3 linked regions of the Pelodiscus sinensis genome follow. The protein of the gene in region 1 purifies or fractionates together with the protein of each later gene. This does not show direct contact. Links are inferred from orthologs where the notes say so. Each region holds a gene or a part of one and is shown on either strand. Other genes may lie near its edges.

The links.
Region 2: the proteins of SNRPB2 (region 1) and SNRNP70 purify together in Homo sapiens (affinity purification with mass spectrometry; 5 studies listed by BioGRID and IntAct, counting the BioPlex papers as one, with this or other methods). This does not show direct contact. The link is inferred for Pelodiscus sinensis from reciprocal best matches to the Homo sapiens genes SNRPB2 and SNRNP70.
Region 3: the proteins of SNRPB2 (region 1) and GEMIN5 purify together in Homo sapiens (co-immunoprecipitation; 3 studies listed by BioGRID and IntAct, with this or other methods). This does not show direct contact. The link is inferred for Pelodiscus sinensis from reciprocal best matches to the Homo sapiens genes SNRPB2 and GEMIN5.

The regions. Positions count from the first base shown.
Region 1 is NC_134713.1:180,793,973-180,797,714, reverse strand, and holds the start of SNRPB2 (U2 small nuclear ribonucleoprotein B''), read right to left. Parts: upstream 2,264-3,742; 5' UTR 2,121-2,263; intron 1,886-2,120; exon of another isoform or gene 1,460-1,885; intron 1,366-1,459; 5' UTR 1,342-1,365; coding exon 1,278-1,341; intron 1-1,277. UniProt on the Homo sapiens protein: Involved in pre-mRNA splicing as component of the spliceosome. Associated with sn-RNP U2, where it contributes to the binding of stem loop IV of U2 snRNA.
Region 2 is NW_027465870.1:64,252-67,993, forward strand, and holds the start of SNRNP70 (U1 small nuclear ribonucleoprotein 70 kDa), read left to right. Parts: upstream 1-976; 5' UTR 977-1,130; intron 1,131-1,823; 5' UTR 1,824-1,836; coding exon 1,837-1,983; intron 1,984-2,144; coding exon 2,145-2,207; intron 2,208-2,724; coding exon 2,725-2,779; intron 2,780-2,935; coding exon 2,936-3,000; intron 3,001-3,095; coding exon 3,096-3,158; intron 3,159-3,742. UniProt on the Homo sapiens protein: Component of the spliceosomal U1 snRNP, which is essential for recognition of the pre-mRNA 5' splice-site and the subsequent assembly of the spliceosome. SNRNP70 binds to the loop I region of U1-snRNA.
Region 3 is NC_134727.1:38,193,332-38,197,073, forward strand, and holds the start of GEMIN5 (gem-associated protein 5), read right to left. Parts: upstream 2,886-3,742; 5' UTR 2,818-2,885; coding exon 2,673-2,817; intron 2,037-2,672; exon of another isoform or gene 1,965-2,036; coding exon of another isoform or gene 1,916-1,964; intron 1,017-1,915; coding exon 862-1,016; intron 1-861. Other genes in the region: MRPL22 (large ribosomal subunit protein uL22m), read left to right, coding at 2,987-3,002, 3,089-3,134. UniProt on the Homo sapiens protein: The SMN complex catalyzes the assembly of small nuclear ribonucleoproteins (snRNPs), the building blocks of the spliceosome, and thereby plays an important role in the splicing of cellular pre-mRNAs.

The sequences.
Region 1 (3,742 bases):
CCAGACATTAAAAAAATACCCAATAGGATATATGGGTCTGTTCAAAAGCATCTGGCAGTCTAGATTTGGCCTGCAGTCCTCCTGACTTCCCTGCAGTGTCTAATTTGTGGTAATATTCCAAGGACTTGGATATGGTGGCCACCAATCCTCATGTACAGTGGGACCAAGGCCTTGATAGAGGCGAGGGAGAGGATTGCAGCGGCACTGGAAGTTAGTGCTTGTACTACCAGAAGCTTCTGAGTTCAGAAAGCTGAGCAACAGCAGGCCCAAACAAGACTAGTTGATGCTAAGAGCAGATAGTGGTTAGGTCACCAATGGGCATCTAGTCTAGCAAATGGGCTGCATGAGTGGTCCTCCATGTCAGTTACAACAATCTTGTGGCCCACTAAGATGATCTCTCTGGATAGGGTAGTTTTTTTAACTGTTCTTAGTTATAATTTGTGAGGTGTACCTGACTGAATCATAGTAGCACTTTGATTGGATGCAGGGAGGGGGTGCTGCATGTAGTCATTTGGATGAACTGATAAACCTAGACTTAATCGTTTACACATCTATAGGCTAACATCTGTAATTGGGATTCCATTGGGCTAGCCATACCACAAACACGCCTACGTTTTATGTCTAGACCAGTGGTTCCCAATCTTTTTGCTACTGGGGACCAGTAAACCCATTCACAAGCTTTTGGAGGACTGGTAACATATTTGCATATTCATTAAGCAAATGATGAATATGCAAATAAATTGTGTCACTGGCCCTACCTGTCCGGTAGGTTGTTCCACCGCTCCGGCCCCAATCACAGCCACTTTAATCGACTGGCACCGGCTCCCTCAGCTGCATCCGGTGCCGGGTATTCTGACTCGGTGTACCCGGCAGATTGTTCCGCCCCCTCCGGCCCCAATCTCAGCTGCTTCATTGGCCGGTGCCGGCTTCCCCGGCTGCGTCTGGCATTCCGCATCGGTGTGCCCGGCTTTCTCCCTGGGTCCTAGCACCTGTCAGATCTAGCCCCACCGCCCGGGAGCATGCCCAGCAGATACCACGGCGGTGGGTCTCTCCCAAGAGGGCCACGCCGCCTCACTCGGCAGTGCAGAGTGCTGCTACCCGTCACACAAATTAATAAGATTGTGTGCAATAATTTTTCCTAAGGACTGGTACTGGGCCGTGGACCACACTTTGGAAAACGCTGGTCTAGACTATATCTCTTGAAGACAGAATACCATACTTTTACTGAGTTTTCACAACATGCTGATAAAAAAATACAAACTTTAATTTAACCATACCTTCTTTTTTAATTTTGTCATTGATATTATTGATGTAAACAGTATGGTTTGGTCTGATATCCATCTTCTAACTTGCTTACACAACAGCCTAGAAAAACAAGCACAATCTATTAAAATACTTTCCATTTATGAGGATGAATTCTTAATAACAGATTGAGTTTTTGTTAGTTTAGATCAAATACCTGTTGCCAACATCAGGCTATATAAAATGGTATCAGAACTGCCTCGCTCCACAGCAAAAAGGAAGCCCTTTCTATCACATGGGGGTTTTAAAACCATATATGAAAAACAAGTAGCCCTTAAAGACTAATAAAAATACGTATAGCATCAAGAGCTTCCGTGGGCACGAAGCGGGTTTTGCCCATGAAAGCTCAGGATACCATATATATTTGGGAGCGAGGGACTACTCGCTGTTTTCAGCGTTACCGACTAACAGGGCTGCTACCCCTCTAAAGCCACACACGGCCATGTGCCCACAAAGGGCCATCTCCTGGGAGGGAGGAGCCGCCGAGAAAGCACCAAGCTGCGTGTGGACAAGAGATGTCCCGTAATCCCTGGACTGCCCCTCAGCAATAACGCTCCGTCGTGTTCAAACTCGTCGTGTAAACAGCGAGGCCCTCACATCACCCTCCCCCCCCCCCCCACAAAGCCAACCGCAGCCCCCGACACCCTCCCCAACAGCGGCCTCCTTCAGCCACCCAGCGCCCCCACCGCTGCAACGGCCCCCCCCCGCAGCCCATGGGCATTAGGGGCCAGCCCCAAGCGAACCCAGGCGAGCTCCCCCGCCCCCCAGCGGGCTTAGCGCTGCTGGGTGCCCCGGGGCCGCAGCGGCCAGTCCCTCACCCTGCTCCCACCGGTCTCAGCGCCGCACCAAGCCGCGCGCTGGCGTGACCTCATCCGAACACGCAGACGACAAGAGTCGATCTCTCGCACAATCGATATATCGCGCGCCCAATCATCGATGAGCTCTTCTCCCTCGCGCGTTCCTTCCTCTAGCACGCCTGCGCCGCCGCCTTACCAGGTCGGGAGTGGAAGGCCGAGCGGTCCCCGTGTTGCCCCACGTGTCTCACTCACTGCATAGAGTTGTGGGCCGGGCTTAGGTGCAGCACGTCCGAACCGCTTCCGTCAGGGCCAACAGGAGGCCTCCTGCCGGCCCAGGCTCTTCCCCGGGTGATTTTCGTGTTTCTGGTCCTTGCCCAGATGCTGTTGTGCCTCGGCCATCCCCTGCCCTTCTTCCCAAAGGCTCTGAGCCAGCGCTGTCACGCCAGTTGGTGGGGCAGTGCCCTAGAGCAGGCCCCTATGCGGGGGGGGGAGGGTGCGAAGGGTGCAAAAAGCAGGTACCCCATAGAAGCATGCTCTGGCTGGCCAGAGGAAGGCAGCAGCGGGTTGCTGCCCCATGCTCTGGCTAGCCAAGGGAAGGCTGGAGCTGATTTCCCCGCTTACTTGGGAAACACGGGGGCATATCCACACCCTTGTGGCCCACATTTACAAACAAAGCATACACCCCCACAGAAATTCCTGCATAGGGGCCTGTAGAGAATCCCATTTGGACACAAACAGCAACCAGGTGTGGAAGAACAGTCAGGAAAGGGCCTGGGTGAACAAGAGCAAGTTCCTGTAATGCTTTGAAAAATGCTGATACCATGCTGTGGTGTTTTAGTGGGAGTGCTGGATGTATACACTGATCATACGTCCCGGATTTTCTGACACTGTCCTGATTTTAAATACTCTGTCTCTGTGTCCCCATCAAGTAGTGAAATGTCCCAAAAAGCCCTGCTGGATATTTCACTACTTGATGGGGATACCAGCTTGCGGAAAGAATTGACCGAGTCCATGCACTGTCACTGCTCCTTGTGCAACGCCGCCGCAGCAGCAGCCTCCTCCCTATCTCCCCCCGCGCAGAGCGCATAGGCGGCTGCACTGGAGCTTTGCTGGCTGGGGCCAGCTTCTAGTGGCATGTGGTTTCTGTCACTGCCCACCCATGGGTTGGCACCTCATAAATTCACCCCTCTTGGAGCCAACACCCCTTCCTCTCGCCCAGGCAGCAGCTCTCACTAATTGCGCTTAAAGGGGCAGCGGCATGCACATCCCCTCCTGCATGGGCGCTCTTGTTTCTGGGTAGTCCCTGAGCCCAGCATGGCTCCCAGACAGGACAGGCACTTGCTCATGCTCAGTGCCTGCATGGTCACTTACTTTCTATCAGCCACCCAGTGCCCCACCACTGCACAGTGCCTCCCTCTCCCTGAGGGACTGCCTCTATCGCATGGGATCCCTGGTCTGGCCATGTAGCCTCCTTTTCCACATGTGCAGGGGCCGCTTGTTCTTTGTTCTTCAGGAACCAGGAGCTGATTGGGGTGGAAACCTCACCTGGGGAGAGATGTGAAATCTTTGTGGGATGGTGATACTGTTATGGGTTGCTTTGCTATGAATCTTTGTTAATAAGGTTATTAAGTTTCTGAAAACAT
Region 2 (3,742 bases), on another chromosome or scaffold:
GTGGAGGTCAGGGGTCATGGCCCGGTTGCTATGGTGGAGGTCAGGGGTCGTGGCCCCGTTGTTATGGCGCAGGTGTTAATGCATCTGGGAACAACGCACACGTTTAGCTACAATTACGTAGCCAATCGTTAGATCGGCAGCTACAGCCATGAGCCGTGGATTTAACCGGGATTAGTACACCCGACAGATTGCAACTCAACTTTTCCATTGACCTCCACGCCAGGTACTTTGTACAAAATTTGGTACAACAATGGTACAAATGGCTGTTGTCAAACATACAGTACCATAACAGGTCGGGGTCATGGCCTGGTTGCTATGGCATAGGTCAGGGGTCAGAATCTGGTTACCAAGGTGCAGGTCAGGGGTCATGGCCTAGTTGCTATGGCATAGGTCAGGGGTCAGAGTCTGGTTGCCAAGGTGCAGGTCAGGGGTCATGGCCTGGTTGCTATGGCATAGGTCAGGGGTCAGAGTCTGGTTACCAAGGTGCAGGTCAGGGGTCATGGCCTGGTTGCTATGGCATAGGTCAGGGGTCAGAGTCCGGTTACCAAGGTGCAGGTCAGGGTCATGGCCTGGTTGCTATGGCATAGGTCAGGGGTCAGAGTCTGGTTACCAAGGTGCAGGTCAGGGGTCATGGCCTGGTTGCTATGGCATAGGTCAGGGGTCAGAGTCTGGTTGCCAAGGTGCAGGTCAGGGGTCATGATCCAGTTGCCACGGTGTACGTCACATGTCAGCATCTGGTTGCTAAGGTGCAGGTCAAAGGTCATGGCCCGGTTGCTATGGCATGGGTTGGAGTCAGGGTGCGGTTGCCATGGTATACGTCATGGGTCAGGGCCTGGTTGCTATGGCGCAGGTCGGGGGTCAACACCACGGCGCCAAGAGCGCCGCCGGCGACGAGTATTATGGTCTGCCTGGCCCGGGTTCGGGCGCTACTTTCCCTGCGGCTGCGGAGGGATCAAGTTCCATCTCCGCCCCTTCCGTCAGCGCGCGGCCTCGCGCCTCCTTGCCCCGCCCCGAGCGAGTCCCGGCCGCGCAGGGATTCGGACGCGGTGACAGGGACACGCATGCGCAGAGCGGGCAGGGAGCAGGCCCCGAGCAGGCGGCAGCGGGAAGAGCTGAGCGCGGCGCGGCCGGTGAGGGGGGGGTCGGTGAGGGCGGGGGGACCACGGGGTGGGAGGCGGGGCCGGGGGGGAACTGGGGGGAGCAGGAGGCGGGGGGACCAGTTGGGCGGGGGGAAGTGGGGGAGCAGGGGGCGGGGGGAAGTGGGGGAGCAGTGGGAGGGGGGAGGGGCAGTGGGGGAGCAGGGGGCGGGGGGAAGTGGGAGGGGGCGGGGGGAAGTGGGGGAGCAGTGGGAGGGGGGAGGGGCAGCGGGGGGCGGGGGGCAGTGGGAGGGGGAGGGGCAGTGGGGGAGCAGGGGGAGGGGGGGAGCAGGGGGCGGGGGGCAGTGGGAGGGGGAGGGGCAGTGGGAGGGGGAGGGGCAGTGGGGGAGCAGGGGGAGGGGGGAGCAGGGGGTGCGGGGCAGTGGGAGGGGGGAGGGGCAGTGGGAGGGGGGCAGTGGGGGAGCAGGGGGCGGGGGGCAGTGGGAGGGGGGGGAGCAGGGGGCAGTGGGAGGGGGCAGAGGACGGACAGGGCTGCCGAGGCGTTGGCTCTCCTGAAGGAGATGGGAGGGGGGTGCAGCTGGGAAGCAAAACCCCAGGAAATGAGGAGTTTAGCTGGCCCCTAAGCCCGCTGGGTTATGGCAGGGGCGGGGGGGGGGGGAGGACACACGTGGCTGGAGGGAGTGTGTTTGTTGTGGGATCTAATGATCTGGCCTCTCTTTCCTCCAGCAGATCTCCCAAGATGACGCAGTTCCTGCCCCCCAACCTACTGGCGCTTTTTGCCCCCCGGGACCCCATCCCCTACCTGCCCCCACTGGAGAAGCTGCCTCATGAGAAACACCACAACCAGCCCTACTGTGGCATCGCACCGTACATCCGGGAGTTTGAGGTGAGCTCACCCCCCAGTAGGGCAGCGCTGATGGGGCGGGGAGGAGCTAGCTGCCTCCAACCCCCCTTTCTCTACTGTAGAGCTTCCTGGCTCCTCCATTTCTGCCCAACTCTGCCACTCACCCACTCAATGCCCTGCTAACATAATTCTCCCCCATCCAGGACCCACGCGATGCCCCTCCGCCCACCCGTGCCGAGACCCGTGAGGAGCGCATGGAGCGGAAGGTATGGCCACCTGCTAGCATAGGGGTCAGCCCACCCTTCCCAAGGCATGGGAGAGTTATCTGGGTCGCCCCACAAATAACCTGCTTCACTCTGTGTGGTGAAGGGCAGAGCTGCCAGGTTCTCTTCTGGCCACCCTTGGGTATCCCTTCTCCTATATAGTCTGGTGATTGAACCTTGGGGCTGGGAGCCAGGACTTCTGGGTCCTCTCCCTGGCCATTCTGTTGTTAACTCCGTGTGAGGACTTTGGGAGGAGTGCCTGGTGTCCCAGCCTGTGAATTGGGAGAAAAACACTGCGGCGAGTAGCGAGGAGGAAGCAGTGAATTCGGCAGCACTTTGAGAGTCTCAAGGGTGCTCATGGCTAAGGCTTCAGAGCCCCCCTTGAGTCCCATCCTGAGGTCCCTCTCTGGAGCATCATTGTGTGGAGTCCAGTCCTGTCATTCCTTCCTTCTGAGGTCCCTCTCTGGAGCATCATTGTGTGGAGTCCAGGCCTGTCACTCCTTCCTTTTCCTTCCTGCAGAGACGAGAGAAGATTGAACGGAGGCAGCAGGAGGTGGAGAACGAGTTGAAGATGTGTGAGTGGAGGGTCCCGTCCGGGGGGGGGGGGTTGCTCTGACTCCCACCTCAGGGGCAAGTCAGCAGCTGGGAGGGTGAACGTGGGCTCAGGGTGGCAGCAGTTTGTTTCCCTGCTATCCGTTCCATGTGCCTATTCCTGATCTCTCCCTCCCCAGGGGACCCGCACAATGACCCCAACGCCCAGGGAGATGCCTTCAAAACCCTCTTCGTAGCCAGAGTGGTAAGTTCCTTCTAACTGCCCACCGCCCCATCCACGGGCACCTGCTTCTCCCCAACCCTGGTAGCAGCCATCTCAGCCTGTGCTCTGCCCCACAGAACTACGACACAACAGAATCCAAGCTGAGAAGAGAATTCGAGGTCTATGGCCCCATCAAGCGGGTAAGAAGCTGCTGCCCACAGGCCTTGCCTACAATGAGCCTCAAGTAGCCCGTCGGTCACAGGCCGAGTCGTGCCCAGGGAGACGTGCCAGGCCCTGGTGGGAAAACCCTGGCAGACAGAGTCCACTTACAAAGCCCCCTTGTTCCCAGTGCAGCAGATTGGCCCTGGGGAAGTGACAGGGTCTTCAGGACAGATGAATGCTAGGGTGGGGTGGGTGGTCCCCTTGACTTGGGAGTCTGCAGATCCCTTGGGTCGTAGCCTCTGTGGACTCCTGGACTCTGGCAGCTCAGTGCTGAGACAGTGGCTGTAACGCACTCTCGTGCGTGGGGTTTGGCCAGGTACCTGCAGGGCTACGGTGGGGATCAGCTGCACCTGGAGATGGGACGCCGGACAGGTCCCTGCTCAGGGGTGAACCCCAAAGCCCTTGCTGTGGGGCTTGTTTGCTTGCTTGGGGATGGGAAGTCCCCTCCATCCTTCCCCGGTCTGGTTGGCAGGGCCCTTGGGGGTGTTCCTGGCTCCCCCATTCTAGACCACTCCTCCCCAAAGGCTGTAATGAAGTTGGTGTGCCCTGCACCCCAGTTGGT
Region 3 (3,742 bases), on another chromosome or scaffold:
AGCTGCTGCTGAAACTAATCAGAAGCTGATTCCAGGAAGCCCGGGGCAGAGCAACTCTGCCTCGGGCTTCCTGTTGTCAGTGCTGGTCAGCAACCCAGCAGCACCCCATCTGCTCTGCCCCAGGGTCCAAAACAAAAGCCTGGTCTGCTGGGGGGGGGGAGGGCACACTAGCTCCCCCCCCCCCCAGCAGACCAGGGACACGGGGAGCAGAGCCGCAGCGGGGTGCCGCGCCTCTGAGGCTTTGCTCTGGCAAAGTCTCAGAGGTGCGGGACCCCGCAGCGGCTGCAGCTTCAGTCCCGGTGCCTGTGGTCTGCTGGGGACGGTCCCCAGCAGACCACAGGCACCGGGACTGAAGCGGCAGCAGCGGCGGTTCCCCGCGCTTCTGAGGCTTTGCTCTAGCAAAGCCTCAGAAGCGCGGGAACCCGCCCGGTGCCCCTGGTCTGCTGGAGACGGTCTCCAGCAGACCAGGGGCACCGGAGCAGCTTACGAACGGGGCTTTCTCGCCCCGGAGCTCGCAGGTAGCAATCCGCCACCTCGACCTCCGGGGCGAGAAAGCCCCGTTCGTAAGTGCGAGTCGGATCTGCGTAAGTCGGGGACTGCCTGTACAGCAAAACATACAGTGCCTCTGCTATTTCCAATAAGAAAGGCAAATTAGGTCACTTAAATGAGTTTTTAAACAAATGCAGCTTTCAAAGATCTATTCTACAGTTTCAGTTTGCAAATTGGACCATGGATCTCTTTTGGTTTCTAGCGATTTGACAGGCATTGAGAAATTAGTGCAACTCTGTCTTGACCTAAGAAAAGATTTTGGAACCTTGTTTTAGAGATTTTTTTCACAGGCACAGTGGTTGGCTACTATACCTGATGCAGTGTATGCTCAGTCACAAGAGTCAGCTTCTGCGTATCCCAGATTTTCACAGTTCCGTCATCAGAGCTGCTGGCACAGAAGTTGCTTTCACCAGGATAGTGACAAAACGTGAAACCAGAAACCCTTTCTGTATGGCCTACCAGTTCCCCTACAATTACAAAAGCAAAAGACTTACACACAACACTTTCTAGCTTCAGAAACACAAATGTTTTTCTAAATTTAGACAAAAATATTTTTGATAGAGTGTCTAAGACTAAGTTTACACTTGAATTTTACTGCATTGCAACTGTCTGGATCAGGGGTGTGAGAAAACACCTATTCCCTCCCCCACTCCAGCACAACAAGTTACAGCACTGTAAAGCACCTCTGTAAACGGAGCTACAGCGCTGGGAGCCATGCTGTTAGCTATGACCCTAGTGGAGGTGGTTTACCTAGAGCAGGGCTACTCAACACGTGGCCCGTTTGTGGTGTGGTTTGGGTTTACGTGGGGCTCGACACACAGCCTGCGGGTGGGATCCTTTGAACATGGCCTCCACCGGGAACACGCACTACAATGACGAGTCAATATAATGGTCTTCTGTTGCTATGTGTTTTAGTAGTTACATTCCTGGACTGTCATTGCTCATTAAAAGTGCTGTCATATGCAGGGCTCGCCGAACCACGGTGCTGATTGCTCAAACCCAGCTCTTCCGGGGGCAAGTAGATTGTATTATTTGTCAAGCCTTGGTCATATGGGTGGAAATGGGGTAAATATTGCATTTTATGAATAGCAGCAGAACTGACTTTAATGGGGCCTGCGTGTAGTGTAGTCTTGCCTTAATCTTTGTATTCATGCCCGTCAGTGTGAAAGAAGCTATTTGCATGCATATGCAAAGTATCATTTTGGCCCCCCGGGGCTCCCAAAGTTGAGTAGCCCTGCCCTAGTGCACTGAGAGAGCTCTTAGGGCTCCGCCTGCAGCTACACTTCAGCACTAAAGTGCTGCCCTCAGCTGCACTTTAAACTTTCTAGTGTAGACAAAGCCTGCGTCAGAATAGCCAACCCATCACCTCTCTCAGAATCAGGCTGATTGTGAGAGCTCTGCAACAGGTCCCACATTAGTTGGGAGATCGCGGCTGCGGGCTGGTTTCTCACAGCGGGGTCTCACATCCCATGCACTTCAACACACTCCTACACCGAATTAAAAGCAATAACCAGCACACTCGGAGGGGGGGAGGCAGTTTCACTGCAGTACAGACCCCCCCCAGCTCGGCCTGGCCCCGGCTGAGTCACCCCACGTGCGGGACAGACCCGCGGGCGCAGGCACAGAGCGGGCTGGAGCAAAACGGGCGCGAGGCACATTTACACTGGGGCGAAGCGGGGCCCCCCGGGGGAGCCCTGCGGAGGCCGAGGGCGCTTTAGCCTCCCGCCCGAGCATGGACCGGGGAGCAGCCGAGCCCTGCAGCCGCCCACGGTGCCCGGGCTCCGCGGTGGGGCGCGTGGCTACTGCAAGGCGGGGGGGAGGAGAGTACCGCGTGCTCCCTGCCCCAGGCTCTCGGGGCCCGTGCTCGTTCTCGGGACCGCGGGGGGGACGGGACCGCGCGCTCCTTGCCCTCAGGCTCTCGGGGGGGGGGGGCCGCGCGCTCCTTGCCCTCAGGCTCTCGGGGGGGGGGGGAGGACCGCGCGCTCCTTGCCCTCAGGCTCTCGGGGGGGGGGGGAGGACCGCGCGCTCCTTGCCCCCAGGCTCTCGGGGGGGGGGGAAGGACCGCGCGCTCCTTGCCCTCAGGCTCTCGGGGGGGGGGGGAGGCGGGTCCCGCCGGGGGCTACCGTGGAAGGCGGGCGCGGCGCCGATCTCCAGCAGGTAGACGCTGTTCCGGGCCCCGAAGCCGAAGAGGCGGCCGGCCCCGCAGGTGTCGCTGCAGCGGCCGCAGTACCAGTTGGGGGAGGCGGGCAGGACCCGCTCCGCCGCCATGGCCCCCGCGCCTCAGCCCCTCCAGGCGCCGCGCCCGCCGGAGGCACCGTTACCAGGCGCTGCCGCCAAGCGCCGCCCGCACGCGGTCGCGACGTCACCTCTGACCCCGGCGCGCGGCGGGCCCTGCGCATGCGTAGGGGGGCGCGTGCCGCCAAGCGAAGCGGGGAAGATGGCGGCGGCGGCGGGTGAGTCTGAGGGGAGGGGAGGGGAGCGGGGCGGGCGGGGGTTTGGCCGCCGTGTCCTCGCTAACTGCCCCGCTTCGCTCTTGCAGGGGCCGCCTGGGCGCGGAGCCTCCTCAGCTGGACCCGGCCGGAGAGGTACGAGCCGCGTCTCCCCGCAGGGCAGGTTCGGGCTCCGGGGCTGCGGCTCTGCTCCTACGGGGGGGCTATTGGGGGCTGGGCCCCCGGGCGGGGGCGTGCAGGGCTGGGGGGGGCCGTCCCCCGGGCGGGGGCGTGCAGGGCTGGGGGGAGGGGCGTGCAGGGCTAGAGGGGGGGCAGTCCCCCGGGCGGGGGCGGGGGCGTGCAGGGCTGGGGGGGGCCGTCCCCCGGGGAGGGGGCGTGCAGGGCTAGAGGGGGGGCAGTCCCCCGGGCAGGGGCGTGCAGGGCTGGGGGGGGGCGGCCCCTTGGGAGGGGAAGAAAACCGAGGGAGGAGGTTGGGGTTTGTATTCTGTGGCCCCGATGCCCCCTCCCCCCCCTTCTCTAAGGCCCTGCCCCTGCTCGCTCTGTCCTCCCTCCCCCAGCCTCACTCTCTTTTATCCGGCCGGGGGCAGGAATTTAGGGTGCAGAAGGGGTTCAGGACTGGGGCCAGGATTGGGAATGCAGGCTCCAGCTGGGCACCATTTACCACAGGTGGCTTCTGGGTGGTGGTGCAGGGGACTAAGGCAGGACTGACCCTGCACCACTCCCAAAAGCATCCAGCAAACTCT